Callithrix jacchus: one gene and its partners. The protein of the gene in region 2 purifies or fractionates together with the protein of the main gene of each other region. This does not show direct contact. Links are inferred from orthologs where the notes say so. Each region holds a gene or a part of one and is shown on either strand. Other genes may lie near its edges. The genes, in order: TNPO3, CLK3, GPATCH8, FKBP5 and PSME3IP1.

Region 1 (3,516 bases), on a different chromosome or scaffold from region 2:
CTCCCTTTGTTGCCGAGGCTGGTTTCAAACTCCTGGCCTCAAGTGATCCTCCTGCCCTGGTCTCCCAAAGTGTTGGGAAGACAGGCATAAGCCACTGTGCCCGGCAGGTATATATATAGTACACTCCTAAGAGTACATGGCTACCTGGTTTCTGTTCCTGTCCAAACTTCTTGTTCTCATCTTTTGTTTGTTTTTGTTAGCACTTAACAATTTGTTTACACTCAAGAATGTTTTTATAAAGTTAGATTTATTTAAGTTTTCTATTACTTGGGAATCAAGTATATTTGTAAAAAAGTTTAAGCAGAGTATGGAGACTTTTTCCCTCAGGTCAAGGACTTTTGGAATTAAATTTGCTGATTCCTGGAGGCTCAAAAAGTACTTTTCTTTAGAAAACCAAATATGCTGCTCTATTAAGTTGAAATGGAACATGAGTATTGAACCAGCAAGGAATAGGTACTATCTATATTATTATTATCCATTTTATATTCTGTTGTTCTGTAAGATAGCTCACTTTAGGTCCTATTGAGTACTTTCCTAAACTGCTTTTATAGTAATATTAAAAATTATAAATTCAATTTTAAAAATAATTTCAGATTATATTACATTTTACCATTCTGCTCAACTTTCACACAGCACACATAAACTGAGTTATGGTCATGTGACCTAGTACTGAAAATATTTGGGCATTATCAGATAGCTTTAAAAAAACAATTCCATCCTTAGGTGATTAAGAATCTGGTTCAAAGAAATCCAAAGGGGAAATATATCCAAGTCTACATTGTGGGTTACGTTTACATTTATGTGCTTCCAAATGTTCTGGTTAGATGTATCACCAAGAAATAATACAGTGCTATAGAAGAGGTCTGACAGGATGAAATACTTCCTGAATAATACATAACTAATATGACTGACATTTGGGCATCTCTCACAAGTGAACATATTTCACATTGGACAGCCACACGACTGAATTCAATGCTTGATACTTATTTTTGGTAATACAAATTCTATGACAGTGACATATAAACATGCTTTAAAGGACTCAATAATAAATTACTGACCTTCTGTGAGCCTCTTCATCTACTAATCTAACTTGGCAATACGCCTAAATTTGGCTCCACGGACACAGAACAGGGCTAGTTTCAAAATTAGGGTTGGCCTTAAGGAACCAAAGCCTATTACATTTAGTAACTATGAGATAAATTCCTTATGAAAACATCTTACCGGTCTATCAACCTGCATGATCTCCCAGAGCACTTCAGCCACATCTGGCAGGGTATAGGGGGGGAGACAAAAGCAGCAGGTATGTAGCAGCTGGCTGACAAGCTGCTGTCCAAGCTGGCTCATCACCTGTCCAATCAGTTCCTTCCGTAATTCAAAGTCTTCTTCATGCTGTATATAGGAAAGCAGGAACATCAGATAAATTCTAGTCTCAACATTCCAAAGACCAAGCACTATTCCCCCTTTAGCCTAGTAATTTATCTTTAATAGGGAAGAAAGTATGTGTATGTGTGTGCACGTGTGTGTAAAATAACAGCTGGATTCACAAAGTTCACAAAGTGTTTCACCTTCAAAAAGAAAATTAAAGAGTTTATTAGTATCGAGGAATGAGCATGGGTTTCAACAGAGATTAATGCTTAGATTTTTCATGATTTTAAGGCAGAAAAGAAAATACTGTTCAGAATTAAGTTAGCAATTTAAAAACTTTTTTTCCCTCATCTTCAATTAAATATTTTTAATGTGAAAAATAACTTGCGTTCCTATTTTCTTGTTTAAAAACCAAGTCGGCCTGGCACAGCAGCATACACCATAGTCCCAGCCACTCCAAAGGAGGGACAGGAGGACAGCTTGAACCCAGGTGTTCTGGGCTGGTGCCTGCACTAAATTCAGTATTAATATTGTGATCCCCACTCCTGGGTTGCCTAAGGAGGGAGAGGTGAATAGCCCAAGTCAGAAACAGAGTGGGTCAAAATTCCATTCTGATCTGCAGTGGGATCTCACCTGTGAATGGCCACTACAGTCTGGGTAACACAACCAGATCCCCATCTCACAACAAAACAAAACAAAACCAACTGAAATAAGAATTGAAGATGTCTATCAGATTCTGAATTTTTTCCTGTTAAAAAAACCCTTATTTTCTTTCTTTATGTGGTCTTTTTTTTTTGGAGACAGAGTCTTGCTCTGTCACCAGGCACCAGGCTGGCGTGCAGATCCTAGCTCACTGCAACCTCCACCTCCTGGGGTTCAGGCAATTCTCCTGCCTCAGCCTCCCAAGTAGCTGGGACTACAGGTGCATGCCACTACGCCCAGCTAATTTTTGTATTTTTTAGTAGAGACTGGGTTTCACCACGCTGGTCAGGATGGTCTCGATCTCTTGACATCATGATCCGCCTGCCTCAGCCTCCCAAAGTGCTGGGATTACAAGTATGAGCCACCGCGCCTGGCCCTCTATGTGGTCTTTAATTTTTTTTTTTTTTTTGACAGAGTCTTGCTCTGTTGCCTAGGCTGGAGTGCAGTGACATGATCTCAGCTAAGCAAAACCTCTGCCCCCTAGGTTCAAGCAATTCTCCTGCCTCAGCCTCCCTAGTAGTTGGGATTATAGGCATGCGCTACCATGCTCAGCTAATTTTTGTATTTTCAGTAGAGACTGGTTTCATCATGTCGGCCAGGCTGGTCTCGAACTCCTGACCTCAAGTGATCTGCCCATCTCGGCCTCCCAAAGCGATGGAATTACAGGCATAAGCCACCGCACCGTTCCTTCTTGTGGTCTTTAAACATACACATACATATTTCTAATACCTTGAGAAAAATATATTTTTAAATTACCTTTCCCTTCTAGTAATTTTCTCTTTTACTGCCAAACTTCTTAAATGAACAGCCTGAATAGAATGCAGAAGTGAATACGTACTTCTTCCCTGTTCTTCCTTATCTACAATTTTACTCCACATCTAACCAAACCTACCTTCAAAATTCCTGTGAGCCACTTTACTAGTCCCATTGCTTAGCTGTCTACTAACAAACTTAGTACTATTCTGAATTGCTCTGATCCTAGTTTAAAGGCAGTTAGACTAACTCTCTCGAATCCAACCAAATTCTACCTCTATCTCATGGCTCCATTTAAATCCGTCCCCTTTCAGAAAGTTATTCCAACTCTCTTCTGTCTAGAGCTTTCCCTTGTCTAATCTCATAGCAATCATGACTTTGATCACTCATCTGATAATCAAATACTGGAGGCCAAGGTGGGAGGATCACTTTAGGCCAGGAGTTCAAGACCAACCTGGGCAACATAGTGAAATGCCATCTCTACAAAAAATATAAAAACTAGCCAGGCATGGTGGTGAATGCCTGTAGTCCTAGCTACTCAGTAGGCTGAGGATCCCTTGAGCCTGAGAGGCAGAGCCTGCAGTGAGCCATGATCACATCACTGTACTCTGCCTAGGTGACAGAGCAAGACTCTGTCTCAAAAACAAATGAGAACACCAAATACTGCCTTCTTGTTGTTTATTTAACTCTTTAAAC
Region 2 (3,516 bases):
TTCTCTTTTTGGTGCCCTCTATCAATCGTCGTGAGGCTTGGGATGGGCCTGATTGTGAGCAGCATGGACGCCAAGGTCAGGGCAGGAGCTGACATGGGGCCTGTGTGGGCCATTGTGGTAGGAAGCCTGGCAGTCGACCTACCCAGAGGATCCCAGGCTGCTTTCCTGCTTGAGGCTGGTGGCAGGAAGGCTGCTGATGGAAGGTTGTTTCTGGTAGTGATGGTGAAGTCTGGCCAAGGATGCCGTCTGGGGGCAGGTAGCAGCTTGGCTCTGAGTGGCAACTGTCGGGTATGTGCAAGGCTGCGTGGGCGAACAGAGGCAGGCAAGGGCAGGCTGGGCATTCTGCAGCTGAAGCCGGAGCAGCCTCTGACCAGTCTGGATGGTTGGACCCAGGCAGGGCCAGCTGCCTTCTTGCGCCGTTCTCACTGTGTCTTCCGCTCTGGCCAAAGCCACATGGGAGGGCCTGGGAGGGAGAGACTCAGAGGAGGAGGAGGGAGTCGGGGCTATGGCTCTCCTCACAGCGCGGCCCTCAGCAGCAGAGGCAGGTCATCTTCCTGAGCGTTCGTGGCACTCCTCGTAGAGATAATATCCGAGTTTTCTTTACATACCTGTAGCTGTTTTTACTTTTCTGTTTTTGAAGTCAGCTTGTGTCTTGACGTGTCCCTTGCAATATCCCTATCGTTATATATGCTGTGTGCCTTATGAAATGCTGGGATCTGGAAAATCCAACCAACCAACCCACCGGCTCCTCACCGTCTCCACCTCTGCCTTTGACTGACACCTCAATCTGTCAATCGGAACCGCCTACCATGCGATTGGTCGGATGGCGTTTCGGGGGGCGGTGCATGCAGAGAAGCCAACAGAGCAGTAAGCGCAGCAGCCGGAGTGTGGAAGATGACAAGGAGGGTCACCTGGTGTGCCGGATCGGCGATTGGCTCCAAGAGCGATGTACAGCCACCTTTCGTAAAACTTTACCTCTCTACTTTCTACCCCCCTTGTTAGACGAGACCTCTCCTGCCTGGAGGGGCCTCTAGTGCGCGTGGTGCCTTAGCGGGGCCACCAGTAATTGCCTGAATGACACAGACGCTAGCAACTTCCATTTTTAAGAGTGTACCAGTGAGAGAGAAACCTTTTTTGTTTTTGAGAATTTGAATGCTGTGAACTTGCAGGAGCTGCCAACACCCTGCCCTCCAGATTCTCATGCCCAGTTTCTTTTCTCTCCTAGATGAGATTGTGGGGAACCTGGGTGAAGGCACCTTTGGCAAGGTGGTGGAGTGCTTGGACCATGCCAGGTGAGTGAACTGGGGCAGTACAGCTGGCTCTGGATGTGACCTTCCTGGGAAGAGCTGGCCTGAGGTTCTTCAGGGTGGTGGCTATCAGAGCTTAACTGTTTTCTTTCTGAAGCGTGGCACCAGAGTAGGGTTCTGACCTGTCCATGTTGGGGTTTTGCTGATCCCCTGTAATAAGGGAGAAATTCTTGGGTTCTGCAGGCATGTGGCATTCCTGCCTAAGAATTGCTGGTCAGTGAATGGTTCTGCTCCAATCCCTCCACTTCTCCAGGGCTCTGGTGGTGGTTATCAGGACAGGACCAAGGCCCTGGCTCCCCTGTGGCTTGGAGCTGCTTCCTGTGATAACTTTTAGGTTCTTGGCCTGGCAGGCGGCTAGGAGTGCCACTAAGCCCAGCCCAAGCATGAATCCCATCCCGAGGGTCTGCCTGAGAGGCTGTGCAGATCTGTTGAAAGAAACAAGACCCTGCGCTTTCTCACCAAGCAGGCTGCTGCCTTTTCCAGTGTGGCTGGGGTAGTGTGTGGTCTCCGCTGTGTGTGCCCGGAGAGGGGTATACACTGTCGTGCTGCTGGGGCACCTCACTCTCTCCCAGGTCCAGCAGCGCAATAGTTTTGTCCCCTTACCATTCCACAAGACTAGAACTTTCCCTTTTGCTTCCTCCCCTGTAGCTCTGGGGTGGGGAGGCCCCCTCTGGGGAGCCAGTTGCCTCCCTGCCATAGGCCCTTTAATTGGTTTGGCACTTTAGCTACAGAGTACCCGTGTCTTCATTGTAGCCACTTGCCACCCATATTTGGCCTTCCTGCTATTTCAGAGATGAATAAACATCCTCAGGGTTTGGCCGCATCATACTCCAATTAACGGCAGAGCTGGCCACTGCTGCCCCATAGTGCTCCCACATTAAATGGAGTGCTCAGGAAGGCCATTCAGACCCAGGCCTCCAGCCTTCCCCTCGGCCACGAGATAGACTGACAGGAAGCTTCCATTTGCTCCACGTTTCCATGTAAACAGCTGTATGACTCAGTGTGGCCCAAGAGGTTAGGGTTGGGACCAGCAGGTGGAGGGCCATGTGCAGCCACACCGTGGCCAGGTGGAGGCATGGCAGACTCAAGAGCTGGGATGTGTGCAGGTGGTCTGGGCTGCTCCTATCTGAGGAGCTGGAGGGAACATGAGCCTCTGGAGTCATGAGGGGGCAGGTGGAAGGTCCAGGGAACCTTTATGGGACTCAAAGGGAGCCAGGGCCAGTGGGGTTTGTCATGTGGAGGCAGAATTCAGCTCAGCTAAAGGCAGGGTCATATTCTCAGAGCCATGCATCTCTGGCAGGGGCTGCCTTGGAAGTGATGAGCTCCCTGTGCTGAGGATTGGAATGCCATGGAGGGACCTTGTTTTAGGAGGAGGCTGGAGTGCATGGCCTTTCCCTTGAGTTCCCTTCCTTCCCTGAGAATCTGGGAAAATGGGATAGGGAGAGAAAAGCAGGGGATTTTCTGGAAGGTCCCTTTGCTCTGGGCCTGTGAACCTTTTCTTAGGCAACACAGTCAGCCTCCCTGAGGCCTCAGAGGACACGCCCTTCCAGGCTAGGGCTGTCTCACTCCAGTTCTCCACTGGGCATCTGGATTCTAGCTGCCCTTTCCTGACAGGGCCTGGCAGCCTTGCCTCAGCAGGTTTCCTTCTCTGCTGGCTCTCCGCAGATGGTCTCCTGGGGCGGGGTTCGGGGTGGGAAGCACAGAGCAGGGACTTAAAATCTTCTTTGGACACTTAAGAAGGGTTCCTGGCATTTTTTGGTCACTGATAAACGCTGTGGCAGGTAGGTGCAACTGGAGAGGGGTATGATAAAGGGAATGGCCCTGGGCCTCACAGTGAGAGGTACCCTTGCTGGTACCCCTACCTCTTGCCAGATCTTTACTTGATCCTGGAACCCCCTATCCCTGTTTGCTCAGACTTGCAGACAAGCCCAGGAAGGTCAAGAGGTGCTGTAGGAGGGCTCTGGGGGGGACAGCTTGGCCACAGTTGGGGCTGTCTGGCCTACAGGTTAGGTCACTGTGTGAGTTCTTGGGCTGGCATTGGTTAAGCAGGACTGGCCTTTACTCTCCCACACTCCTTTGGGAGCTGGCAGTGGCTGAGAACATAAAAGCCTAAGGCTGGCATGGATATCAGGAGCATTAACTCACAGATGCCAGGGAATTTGCTGTTGGGTGGGCAAAGGTCTGGTGTTGCATGGTGCAGGCTGGGCAT
Region 3 (3,516 bases), on a different chromosome or scaffold from region 2:
TGGCATAGGGAGATTTTCCAGTCTTAGCAGGTAGCTAGAGAGAAGATGGCAGGCCGGGCATGGTGGCTCATGCCTGTAATCCCAGCACTTGGGGAAGCCAAGGTGGGCGGATCACTTGAGGTCAGAGACTACCCTGGCCAACAAGATGAAACCCTATCTCTACTAAAAATACAGAAAATCAGCCAGACATGGTGACAGGGACCTGTAGTCTCAGCTACTCAGGAGGCTGAGACAGAAGAATCGCTTGGACCCAGGAGGCGGAGGTTGCCTTGAGTTGAGAGGAGAGAGGGAGAAAATGGCAGATAGGAGAAGAAGATACATTCTATCTAAATCTTGGCTAGAAAACCTGTTATGTGGTTGGGGAAGAAAAAATTAGGTTTGTGGCCAAAGGTAATCATATAATAGGCCTGATAAGCCTTTTATTTCTGCCCATTCACCTCAGGAGAAGGAAATTGGAATTCATATTTATTTAAAATAGTTGATCCTTTATCTTGAAGTGACATTATAAAAATCTTAATTGTGGGCTAGGCGTGTTGGCTCATGCCTTTAATCCCAGCACTTTGGGAGGCCGAGGCATTTGAGATCACTTGAGGCCAGGAGTTTGAGACCACCCTGGCCACCGTGATGAAACTCCGTCTCTACTAAAAATACAAAAATGAGCCAGGCATGGGGGTGCACGCCTGTAATCCCAGCTACTTGGGAGGCTGAGGCATGAGAATTGCTTGAACCTGGGAGGTGCAGGATTATGTCACTGCACTCCAGCCTGGGCGACAGAGAGAGACTGTGTCTCAAAAAAAAAATCTTAATTATGGGCACTAATAGTTTTGCCAGCTGTTCATTGCTTCAACTTCCCCAAAATAAGGGCTAATGGAAACAAGACTGCTTTTTTATGCCACAATGGTCTTTTCCAAAGTTCTGGAACCATTTTTCTGAAAGAAATACAGGTAGTTTCATTTTTCTAGGTGGGATTACTATGTCAGTCTGTGTGTATGTACACATATATATGTTGTACAGGTGCTTCCCTTCTCCCCAGCCCTTTTAGAATTGATGGCTTTGTCCCTGATTGTTCAGTATAATAGTTTACAGATTCACTAAGAGAGCTTGTGTAGTAATGCTTGCTTTATTTTTTTTTTCTCTTCCACTCTTGTTTTATTTTTTACTTTTTTTTCTTTGTGATGTGACATTTTCAGCTGATGTATTGAAAGCAAATCCTTCTAATTTGGGAGCCCAGATCACAAGAGTGAGTTTTTCTACTAGTGTCTTTAGCTGTATATCTTTTATTGTGTGTGTCTTTCTACCCTTCCCCTCTTCCAATTTAAAAAGATTCAAAACACATTTCATAAATATTAGGTAAGAAAATTCCTCTGTCTGTTAAACATCATGCCTTTCCACAAAGCAATGTCCACTTTATACTGGGTCAAATTCCTTTTCCCAATGCTGTTGTAAAAGCATAGGCTAATGTATATGTTTCGTTTTGTTTGTTTCTTGTGTTATCTAATGTCTTGAAAATAATTTTAGTTGTGTCTTCATTGCAGATAGATATGTCTGGGTTCTGTCACCAGTGTGTCATAACACTGTTCTTTTTTGGTTATAGTTTGTTTTGTTTTAAGGAAAATTATACAGTAGCTTCTGAAAATAAAAGACCCATTCTGTTATCTGGATTTTAAGTAAAATCTTTGACTTATCTCTGCTCTCCCTCCTCATCCCCTGGATATTCCTCTCAGGGCCATGAAGGAATGCAAAGCCTCACATACTACTTTCAGCAGGCTGACCAGATAAAAGTGGTCAGACTGGTGAGCTCTAAACATGCTAGCACTGGAAGACCTCTCTTGGAGAGGGAGACCTCTCTTGGGTTTATTCAGTAGTTACAGGAAACCTCTATTCATGCTGAAAAAAAATAACAACACCTTTTTATGGTGAAATAAAAGTATGCTTTCTATTTGTTCTAATTTTAATAACCCCCCCCATGTAAGCTGTACATTGCTTTTCAAGATCTTACACCTGGGTAATTTTCTGTACTAGCCTAACCCCTTTCTGTTCTCTTTGGCTTGTGATATTGCAATTTATCTCATGTTCTGTTTGTCTAGTTTTGCATCCTGGAGGAGCAGGTGATTAAATAGTCCCTTTTCTTTCCTCCCAGTGTTCTAAAATTTCCTTGTTGCATTTGAGATCATTTTATTTCGCCTAATAAAGCAAATGATGCGTTGTCCTAATTAGAAATGCAGATACTGCAAGTGCTATACCCAAAGTAATCAGCCATTGTGTTTTCAATTGCCATAAGAGAATATGATAATGTATTCTACACTAATACTGTAACTATTGGTTGAGGGTCGTGTCCTAAGGCTTTGCTTTCAGGTTCCTAAGTTACTCTAAATCATCCACCCTCTATATCTTTCTTTATTTTAACCCAGAGATTAAAAGATCTCAAGCAGAGAGAGTTTGCTCGAAATGTCTCTTCAAGATCCCGCAAGGATGAGAAAAAACAGGAAAAAGCCCTTCGGCGGCTCCATGAGCTGGCAGAGCAAAGAAAACAAGCTGAATGGTGAGTATATTTTTTCTCAGAGGGTTGTACAGATAAATATAATCCTTAAAATTTTATAGATTTAAGATTAAATTTAATGATTAAATTAAGATTTAAGAATTATAAACCTTGAATTTTTTTAATTGACAAATAATAATTGTACATATTCACGGGTTATGTAGTAATGCTTCAGTACATATAATGTATAGTGATCAGATCAGGGTAATTACCATATCCATCACCTCAAACATTTATCATTTCTTTGTGCAGGACATTTAATATCCTCTTTCTAACTATTTGAAACTACATAGTATTGTCTGTTTGGGTTTGTTTTTGTTTTGTTTTGAGACGGAGTTTCGCTGTTGTTACCAAGACTGGAGTGCAGTGGCACGATCTCGGCTCACCGCAACCTCCGCCTTCTGGGTTCAAGCAATTCTCCTGCCTCAGCCTCCCAAGTAGCTGGGACTACAGGCACACACCACCATGCCCAGCTAATTTTTGTACTTCTAGTAGAGACAGGGTTTCACCTCGTTGACCAGGATAGTCTCGATCTCTTGACCTCGTGATCCACTCACCTCGGCCTCCCGGAGTGCTGGGATTATAGGCGTGAGCCACCGCGCCCGGCCTGTTTTTTGTTTTTTTGAGACAGTCTCACTGTGTCTCCCAGGCTGGAGTGAAATGGCACGATCTCAGCTCACTGCAGCCTCTGCCTCCCGAGTTCAAGCAGTTCTCCTTTCTCAACCTCCCAAGTAGCTGGGATTACAGGTGCACACCGCCATATCTGGCTCATTTTTGTATTTTTAGTAGAGACAGGGTTTCACCATATTAGTCAGGGTGGTCTCGAATTCCTGACTTCTTGATCCACACTCCTCAGCCTCCCAAAGTACTGGGATTACAGGCGTGAGCCACCACCCTCTGGCCAAAACTACATAGTATTGTTAACTCTAGTCATCCTACAGTGGTCTAGAACACTGGAACTTACTCTTCCTAGTTAG
Region 4 (4,073 bases), on a different chromosome or scaffold from region 2:
ATGGTTAGTTTCTTGGTCAAAATCACAACTGGGAGTACAAATTTTGAATGTAAAGCCACTATTTTGGGGTTATTTTGGTGTTTGTATGTATATATACGTGTGTTTTTTTAAACAAAATCATCAAGTTCAGCAACCATGTGTCCTAAATTATCTAGGATGGTCAAATTTCTTTTTACTTTTTTTTTGAGACCAAGTCTCGCTCTGTCACCGAGGCCGGAGTGCAATGGTGCGATCTCAGCTCACTGCTTCCTCCTACGCCTCCTGGGTTTAAGCGATTCTCCTGTCACAGCCTCCCGAGTAGTTGGGATTACAGGCACCTACCACCACGCCCAGCTAATTTTTGTATTTTTAGTAGGGACAGGGTTTTGCCATGTTAGTCAAGCTGGTCTCCAACTCCTGACCTCAGGGGAATCTGCCCACCTCAGCCTCCCAAAGTGCTGGGATTACAGGCATGAGCCACCGTGCCTGGCCCAGATATCAAATTTCTAAAATTCTTTTTTTTTTTTTTTTCTGTTTTTGATAGAGTCTTGCTCTGTTGCCCAGGCTAGAGTACAGTGGCATGATTTCGGCTCACTGCAACCTCCACCTTCTGGGTTCAAGCAATTTTCCTGCCTCAGCCTCCCAAGTAGCTGAGAGTACAGGTGCCTGCCACCACACCTGGCTAATTTTTGTATTTTTAGTAGAGACAGGGTTTCAACATGTTGGCTATGCTGGTCTCGAACTCCTGACCTCAGGTGATCCACCCGCCTCGGCCTCCCAAAGTGCTGGGATTACAGGAAGGAGCCAGCATGCCTGGCCCTAAAATTCTTATTGTCTCCTGGACAGTCATCTTGGACATGCTCTGTGTTCTATATCATGACTTCAAGCCTTGTCTTTGTCAGGTACTGCCAGTGAGATCCTAGACTAGCACTTCACCACTTTAAGCCTCAGTTTCCTCCTTTATAAATAGGGAGGAATTGTAATCATTCCACTATCACAGGTTTGCTGGGAGGATTAAATGAGAACATCCACATCAGAGTCAGCACAGTGCCTGGAACGGGGTACCTGTGAAATGAATGGTGATTCTTCTTTATTGTTACCTTGGAAAATGGAGGCCAACTGCAGGATGATCCTGGCTCCAAGGAGCCGGGGACCCAAGACAAGCATACAGAAAGAGAGACCAACAATTGGAGGCCTCTGATGCATAAGACAGGCAGGGGAGTGGTGGGAGGAGAGAGCAAGACTGAGCAGCCAGGAGGGCCTCTTCCCTTCCCTTTACTCAGCCTCTCACTCCTCTGCTAGGATCCCATATTGACACATCTTGTACTTCCCGTTTCCAGGGAAATTCCTCGCTGCCGGACTGCACCCACCCCTGAGGACCTCCCAATATCTTTGGGCAGAGCAGAAGCCAGACAGAGACAAGGACTACCAAGCAACCATCTCCAGCCCCGTGTGTGCAAGGAGCCCTGAGGGGCAGGCGGCCACGCTGCAGAAGACTAGCCTCTCCAACCCCAGGGAGCCTGGCGTGGGCTGCAGGAACAGAACGCTTCTCAGAGGAGGTAGGGACCCCATGGAGTACGTGACGTGACGCCTGGCCCTCCAGCTGCATGCTCCAGTTAGCAGGACAGAGACCCCTCCCCACACATTCCCAGCCTTCCCTGGTTTCCTGCTCTGCTACTGGGAGGCCCTGTCACCACACATGCGCGTGCATGCGCTAACACATACACCCCTCCCAGGCACCCCCGGAAGACCAGCTGCAGCTGGGGGTGGGGGGGGGTGCACTGAGCACAGCCAGGGTTCTCAGATCCCTAGCCTGCTCTCCCACCCCACCCTAGCCCCCAATTGCCGAGCTGCTTCTAGGTTTAAAGCAAAACACGACTCTGTCCTTCCTGCTGCTCAGTGGCAGCAACACTGCCTGGAGTTATTTTTAGCAGGGATGCAGGGAAGGCACAGTTCTCCTTGACTTTAACTAGGGACAACCCCCACCCCCCAGCCAAGACTCACTGGAGGAGGCCAGTACGGAAACTCCCCTCCCAGAAAGGGGAAATGGTGTGTTTTCTGTTCCTTCAATTCACTAGAATGGGAATCGTGGTCAAGCCTGGTGTTGAACTGATGGGAAATTCTAGGTTCCAAAGCCCATGGGCTCTGCCCCATCCTTGGCCTCTATGTTTCCATGAATCCGGGAAGCGAGAGGCACATGGTGTCTGGAGTTGAGGTGCCCTGTCTGTGGGTGCTGGGGTCCCTGGGAAACTGCTTGGTTATATCCAAGCTCTGTGGATTACACAGGGGCACCAGGTATCGTGGGTGGTGTTTCACAGGCGCTGGCTAAATAATTCATTAAACTGAACATGTATGTTTCATGTACTTTTCCATATGTGTATCTTTTAGATGCTAGCAGTACTTTATGAGGTATAATCAACATACATTCCACATACAGTAAAATGCATAAATCTTAAGTGTACAGCTTGATGAATTTTGACAAATATATATGCCTATGTAACCATCACCTAGATCAAGATTTCAGACATTTTCACTACCTCCAAATGCCTTTGTGTCCCCTTCCAGTCAGTCTCCGCCCCAGAGGCAACTGATTCCGACTTCTACCACCATAGATCGTGTGTGTGTTTCACAAAGTTAAAGAAATACAGCTGCTGTCACGGAAGAGGGAAATGAGCAATAAAGTTCTTAACATGAAAGGAGGGGGCCTCAAAAAAAGGGGTTATTGCAACTGGAAAAATGAAGGTATCATTGGCCTGGGAAACAGGAGGTTTCAGAGCCAGCCCAACCCCTCAGGGTTGGGACCAGAAGGCTTGGGACACTTCTTGAAGCAGAGAAGCTGTGAGTGGGGAGGGAGCAAGGGGAGGGCCAGTCTTGGCTCAGGCCTAGCTGCCTCTGGGTCTGCTAGAGGTCCCTGCCCCTCCTCCAGGCCCTGACCACTGCACAGTTTCAGCAAGGCCAAGGCTGCAAGGAAAGGTTCTCTCAGGGGCATCCACCCAGAGGCAGAGTTTAGGGCCCCCATGTAGTTAAGTTATTTGTTTTCCTTGACTTCCTTTTCAAGGTCTGGGACTCCTGCATCCTTTGTCCTGCCTGGGGCGGGGAGAGGCTGAGGCTGTCAAAGCAGAGTGCTAAGGAAGAGTCATGATGCTTTTCATTCTTTCCTTCCTTTCTTCATTCAAAAACAGTTATTTGAGCACCCGTGTAGTGCTATAGATTCTGCCGGGTGCTGGGCATAGGAGAATAAGCCACATTTTAGCTTAGAGAGTCAGAGTTGGCATTTCTAGGTAGAAGCAAGGCCTTATACCTCCTTCATATTGGAGATGAGGGGCCCAGAGAGGGGAAGTGACTTATTAGAATCACACAGCTAGCTGCTGGCAGAGGAAGGCCAAGAACAAGGATCGATCCCTGATTGAGACTTAGCTGGGGATAAGAAAGCAAAGGAAACCAAACCAACAGCTGACTCCCTGGTGTGCTCTCCTGTAAGCTTTCTAGGGTAACAAAAAGCACTGACCTGGAGTGAGAGGACCTCAAGGCTACTGCTAGGTCTTAGAAACACTTCCTCTCTCTGGGCCTCAGCTTTATTCCATGAACATGCAGGAGGCAGCTTCTGGAGCACACCCTCCATTTTCCCGCCTCTGTGCCTTTGCTCGGGTTGTTTCTGCCGCCTAGAATGCCCCCTTTCCCCTCCTACTTCCTTCCTCTGACATTCTCCTAATCATTTATGACCTAATTCAAATGCTGTCCCCAGAGGCCCCGCAGTCCTTGGGCATCTGGAGAGTGGTGTCACCCAGGTCCCCACTACCAGAACAGACAGAGCCTCCTCCATTTTGCAATCCTCCCATCCTAGGGCACAGCTTTCCTTGGATATGGGGTCTGTTTTGTCAGCCACTGTTGGAGGAATTGAAGGGATTTCTTAGTCCCACCCTACACTTCCACATGCCCCCTTAGCTTTCAGAGACTGATGTCGTCCTTCCACTGGGCCTTGAAGACATTGTGCTTTCTGCTGGCCATGCCAGCCCAGGCCAGAGCATCAAACCTGGGCACTTCTGGCCAAGGTGGCTGCCCTGGGAGGTGACCCCAGGAAGGATGAGAAGGCG
Region 5 (3,516 bases), on a different chromosome or scaffold from region 2:
CCATTTCCCTTTATGAGACAAGATAGAGGAGCACCACTAGTTTTTGGCTGCTCATGGCCTCAAGAGTTGCTGTCTGGAAAGGAAAAAGAGCAGCAGGGGCAGCAAAGAAAAGTACTAGGGCAGCACCCTTAAGTTAGAAATAGATTCCACAGTTAAAAGCACAAATATAATATGCATTAAACAGAGAAGGGCCTCGATAGAACAGTCATAAAATGCAAGTATGTTCCACTAGTTTACAATATTTGGATTCCAGGAGCTGCCGGAAATAAGTCATCTCATTAACATACCTACCCACAGTTCTGATGTCTGGCTATGAGTAAACAAGGCCTACGTTTCTCTAAGATTTTGAATCTCAAACTAAATCCTTTATTTCAAAAACAAACATAAAATAATTTCTGAGGCAGAGAAAAGGTCTGAGAAGATGGAAGTTTTCTTGTTAGCAGTCCCTTCCTGCATAAATGGGGTTGGAGAGAGGGGAAACGGAATGGCCAAGGGTGGAAAGCCTTCACAATGCATGCCGAGTGTGAAGCGACACCCCCAGCGGATGCGGTTTAGCATCTCTACTTAGTCACACAACATTAAGGACTGGTTAGTTCGAGGGAAGGGCTCCATTTCTTCACCTGGGTCAGTTCTCTTCCCCCGCATGCTCTACAATGCAGTGGAACCAAACAGCACACTCACCTACAATAGAATGTTTAAATAATACCTGTCCAATAACTGCCCTTACTTTTTTGTGCTGTTGGGAAAGGAAAGAAAAGAAAAAAACAGAAAGCAATAAAACCTGAACCTTTTGGCAAGCCAGCCGGTGCCTATCCTCCTAGGGCATTTTTAGTGGAACTTCGGCTGGGCCTTGCCCTCCTCCCCACGTCAGTGAGGAAGTGGCAGCGGGACAGGTTTGGTCATCTGCACTGGAGTGGAAAGAGAAACCAAACACGATTTGGGCCACAGGTAGATTCTGGCACATCTTTAGATTGGGTTGGTTAAAAATGTCACGTTGTGCACAGGACACAGGCAAAGGAGTTTTTTTTTGAGGGACATAATGTCTGTAGGTGGCATAAACGGTCCGATCTACCCTTGGGGAGGAGTTTCCAGCGTAAGCACAGAGAAACTAGGGGGCTTCGAGGAAGGTGTTGGTTCGGAAGATAGAAGAGACGATCTTTCCAGTGGCATTGATGGTGCCTTCGCTGTCTGAGCTGGACTCGGAGTCGCTGCTCCCAGAGTAGGCACCCAGGCCTGGGAGGATGCCGATACAGACTGCAGCAGAGGGGCAGTGGATGGAGGGGCCACTCAGGGAAGTGTTTCCGAGAGACTTGCAGGATGAGGCCTCTGCAACAAAAGGGGAAAGACTGTCACTTCATCACTGTTTTCCAAAGTTGACGACTGACATACCATGTGCCAGGCATTGTACCAAGGGCTTTTCCCACAGAGAAGCCTCAGAACAACTCTATGCAGCCAATACTATCATTGCCCTCGATTTAGAGACGGGGAAACTAAAGAAGGAAGGGAGGCTCCAGGAGGTGAAAGGACTTCTGAAAGTAAAGGGGCAGAGCTGAGACTTGAATCAAGGTCTTTTTAACCCCAGAGCCTGACTATACTCTGTTGTTCTCCATCAGCTCTGAGTTGCAGAACTAGCTACTTCAGAGTGTAACCTAGAGTGCTTTGATTTCCCTGTGCTCACACAGCTGTGAAATGGACACGTGGGTGGGGGATGAAAGGCTTCCACATGCCCTCAACAGTAGGGATGAAGACAGATTAAGAGAGACACTGTGAGCAGTATTAACAATTCCATTAACTTCTCAGCATATTATGCCATTTCTTACTTACTGACCAATATGCCAGCAAGCACAGATACATTTTCAAGGCCAAACATCAGCTACATGATAACATTTTCTTTTAAAAAATGTTAAAAAATTGGGCAGCCCCCACGACTGGAATAGGCTCCGAGGGACTCACCAGAATAATGCTCTGTATTAAGGGCCACTTTTCCCTGATGGGAGAGAGGAGTGATTCAGAAACTGACTTAACACAACCTTTGCTTTCCAGTTGTGTTATTTTACAGATGAGAAAACTGAAGCCTGTCAGGTAACATTTTAAGGCCATGCAGAATGTCACCTAGAAGCTAAGACTCTTTGTCTTACAGGAACCCCACAGTTGTTCTGCCATCTCAATGACAAAGACCTCAATCTAGACAATGCAGGACTTGGTTCGGCACGGTGGCTCATGCCTACAATCCTAGCACTTTGGGAGGCTGAGATGGGAGGACCACTTGAGGTCCGGAGTTTAAGACCAGCCTGGGCAACATAGTGAGTCCCTGTCTCTACAAGAAAATGTTTTAAAAAATTAGTCGGTGCCGAGCACGGTGGCTCATGCCTGTAATCCCAGCACTTTGAGGCCGAGGTGGGTGGATGACTTGAGGTCAGGAGTTCAAGATCAGCCTGCCCAATATAGTGAAACCCCATCTCTACTAAAAGAACAAAAAAATGGGCGTGGTGATGCATGCCTGTAATCCCAATTACTAGGGAGAGTGAGGGAGGAAAATAGTTTGAATCCAGGAGGCAGTGGTTGCAGTGAGCCAAGATCATGCCACTGCACTCCAACCTGGGTAACAGAGCAAGACTCCATCTCAAAAAAAAAAAAAAAATTAGTTGGGTGTGATGGTTGGGCCTGTGGTCCCAGTTACTCATAAGGCTGAGGCAAGGATTGCTTAAGCCCAGGAATTCAAGGTTACAGTGAACTATCATGGCACCAGTGTACTCCAGCCTGGACAACAGAGCAAGACCCGGTTTCAAGAAAAAAAAAAAAAAAGAAGAAAGAAAATGGACGACTTGAAGACGAAAGGGAAAGTTAAGAATTCTACTCCAGCCCTTTGCTTTTTCCCTGAAATGTTTCCAGCCTTATTTAATCACTACAATTTGATGTATAGGCATCATCCCCATCTTACTGATGAGGAAAGTCAAATCACTTGGCAAGGTTGTAGGTTGCTTAGGGCACAAAATGTTAAACTAAATGTGAATTAAAAGATAACATACTAAAATGATCATCTGAGCTCATTGCAGAGTAAGGGTTGGAGTTCACAGTTCATCGCCACAGGCTAACAAGCATACATCTTTTAGGGTTATGCCTTAGATGCGCGAGCGCCTCATTTACTCAGACATTTCAAGTAAATATGAAAAGAATACACAGCTCCAAGTATAGACAACCAGGAGTAAGCAAACAATACCACTGAGCAGTTAGAAGAGATATCAAACGGCCAGCACACAAAGTTCAAGAGATCAGTGTATTTACTTGTTTGTGCAAGAAACTCTAAGAAGGGAAAAGGGAGCTGCTACAGATAAGCAATGTTAAAACACAAAGATGGAGAAAAGTAAAATGAAAGCTGATAATGACTGCAGAGATAGTGAGAACAAGGCTACAAAAAAAGGCAAGAGCAAATACTTGCAACAAATATCACAAAAGCAACTTTCCTTAAGATACTAGGAGTTCTTCCAAATCTGTTAAAAAAACAACCAACAACTA

Evidence for each region.
Region 1: the proteins of CLK3 (region 2) and TNPO3 purify together in Homo sapiens (affinity purification with mass spectrometry; 4 studies listed by BioGRID and IntAct, counting the BioPlex papers as one, with this or other methods). This does not show direct contact. The link is inferred for Callithrix jacchus from reciprocal best matches to the Homo sapiens genes CLK3 and TNPO3.
Region 3: the proteins of CLK3 (region 2) and GPATCH8 purify together in Homo sapiens (affinity purification with mass spectrometry; 3 studies listed by BioGRID and IntAct, counting the BioPlex papers as one, with this or other methods). This does not show direct contact. The link is inferred for Callithrix jacchus from reciprocal best matches to the Homo sapiens genes CLK3 and GPATCH8.
Region 4: the proteins of CLK3 (region 2) and FKBP5 purify together in Homo sapiens (affinity purification with mass spectrometry; 3 studies listed by BioGRID and IntAct, counting the BioPlex papers as one, with this or other methods). This does not show direct contact. The link is inferred for Callithrix jacchus from reciprocal best matches to the Homo sapiens genes CLK3 and FKBP5.
Region 5: the proteins of CLK3 (region 2) and PSME3IP1 purify together in Homo sapiens (affinity purification with mass spectrometry; 3 studies listed by BioGRID and IntAct, counting the BioPlex papers as one, with this or other methods). This does not show direct contact. The link is inferred for Callithrix jacchus from reciprocal best matches to the Homo sapiens genes CLK3 and PSME3IP1.

What each region holds. Positions count from the first base shown.
Region 1 is NC_133512.1:118,217,775-118,221,290, reverse strand, and holds part of TNPO3 (transportin-3), read right to left. Parts: intron 1,390-3,516; coding exon 1,222-1,389; intron 1-1,221. UniProt on the Homo sapiens protein: Importin, which transports target proteins into the nucleus. Specifically mediates the nuclear import of splicing factor serine/arginine (SR) proteins, such as RBM4, SFRS1 and SFRS2, by recognizing phosphorylated SR domains.
Region 2 is NC_133509.1:21,636,357-21,639,872, reverse strand, and holds part of CLK3 (dual specificity protein kinase CLK3), read left to right. Parts: intron 1-851; coding exon 852-948; intron 949-1,225; coding exon 1,226-1,292; intron 1,293-3,516. UniProt on the Homo sapiens protein: Dual specificity kinase acting on both serine/threonine and tyrosine-containing substrates. Phosphorylates serine- and arginine-rich (SR) proteins of the spliceosomal complex.
Region 3 is NC_133506.1:71,246,323-71,249,838, reverse strand, and holds part of GPATCH8 (G patch domain-containing protein 8), read left to right. Parts: intron 1-1,190; coding exon 1,191-1,240; intron 1,241-2,411; coding exon 2,412-2,542; intron 2,543-3,516.
Region 4 is NC_133505.1:44,022,141-44,026,213, reverse strand, and holds the start of FKBP5 (peptidyl-prolyl cis-trans isomerase FKBP5), read left to right. Parts: upstream 1-1,268; 5' UTR 1,269-1,538; intron 1,539-4,073. UniProt on the Homo sapiens protein: Immunophilin protein with PPIase and co-chaperone activities. Component of unligated steroid receptors heterocomplexes through interaction with heat-shock protein 90 (HSP90).
Region 5 is NC_133521.1:15,028,988-15,032,503, forward strand, and holds part of PSME3IP1 (PSME3-interacting protein), read right to left. Parts: intron 1,327-3,516; coding exon 1,109-1,326; 3' UTR 1-1,108. UniProt on the Homo sapiens protein: Promotes the association of the proteasome activator complex subunit PSME3 with the 20S proteasome and regulates its activity.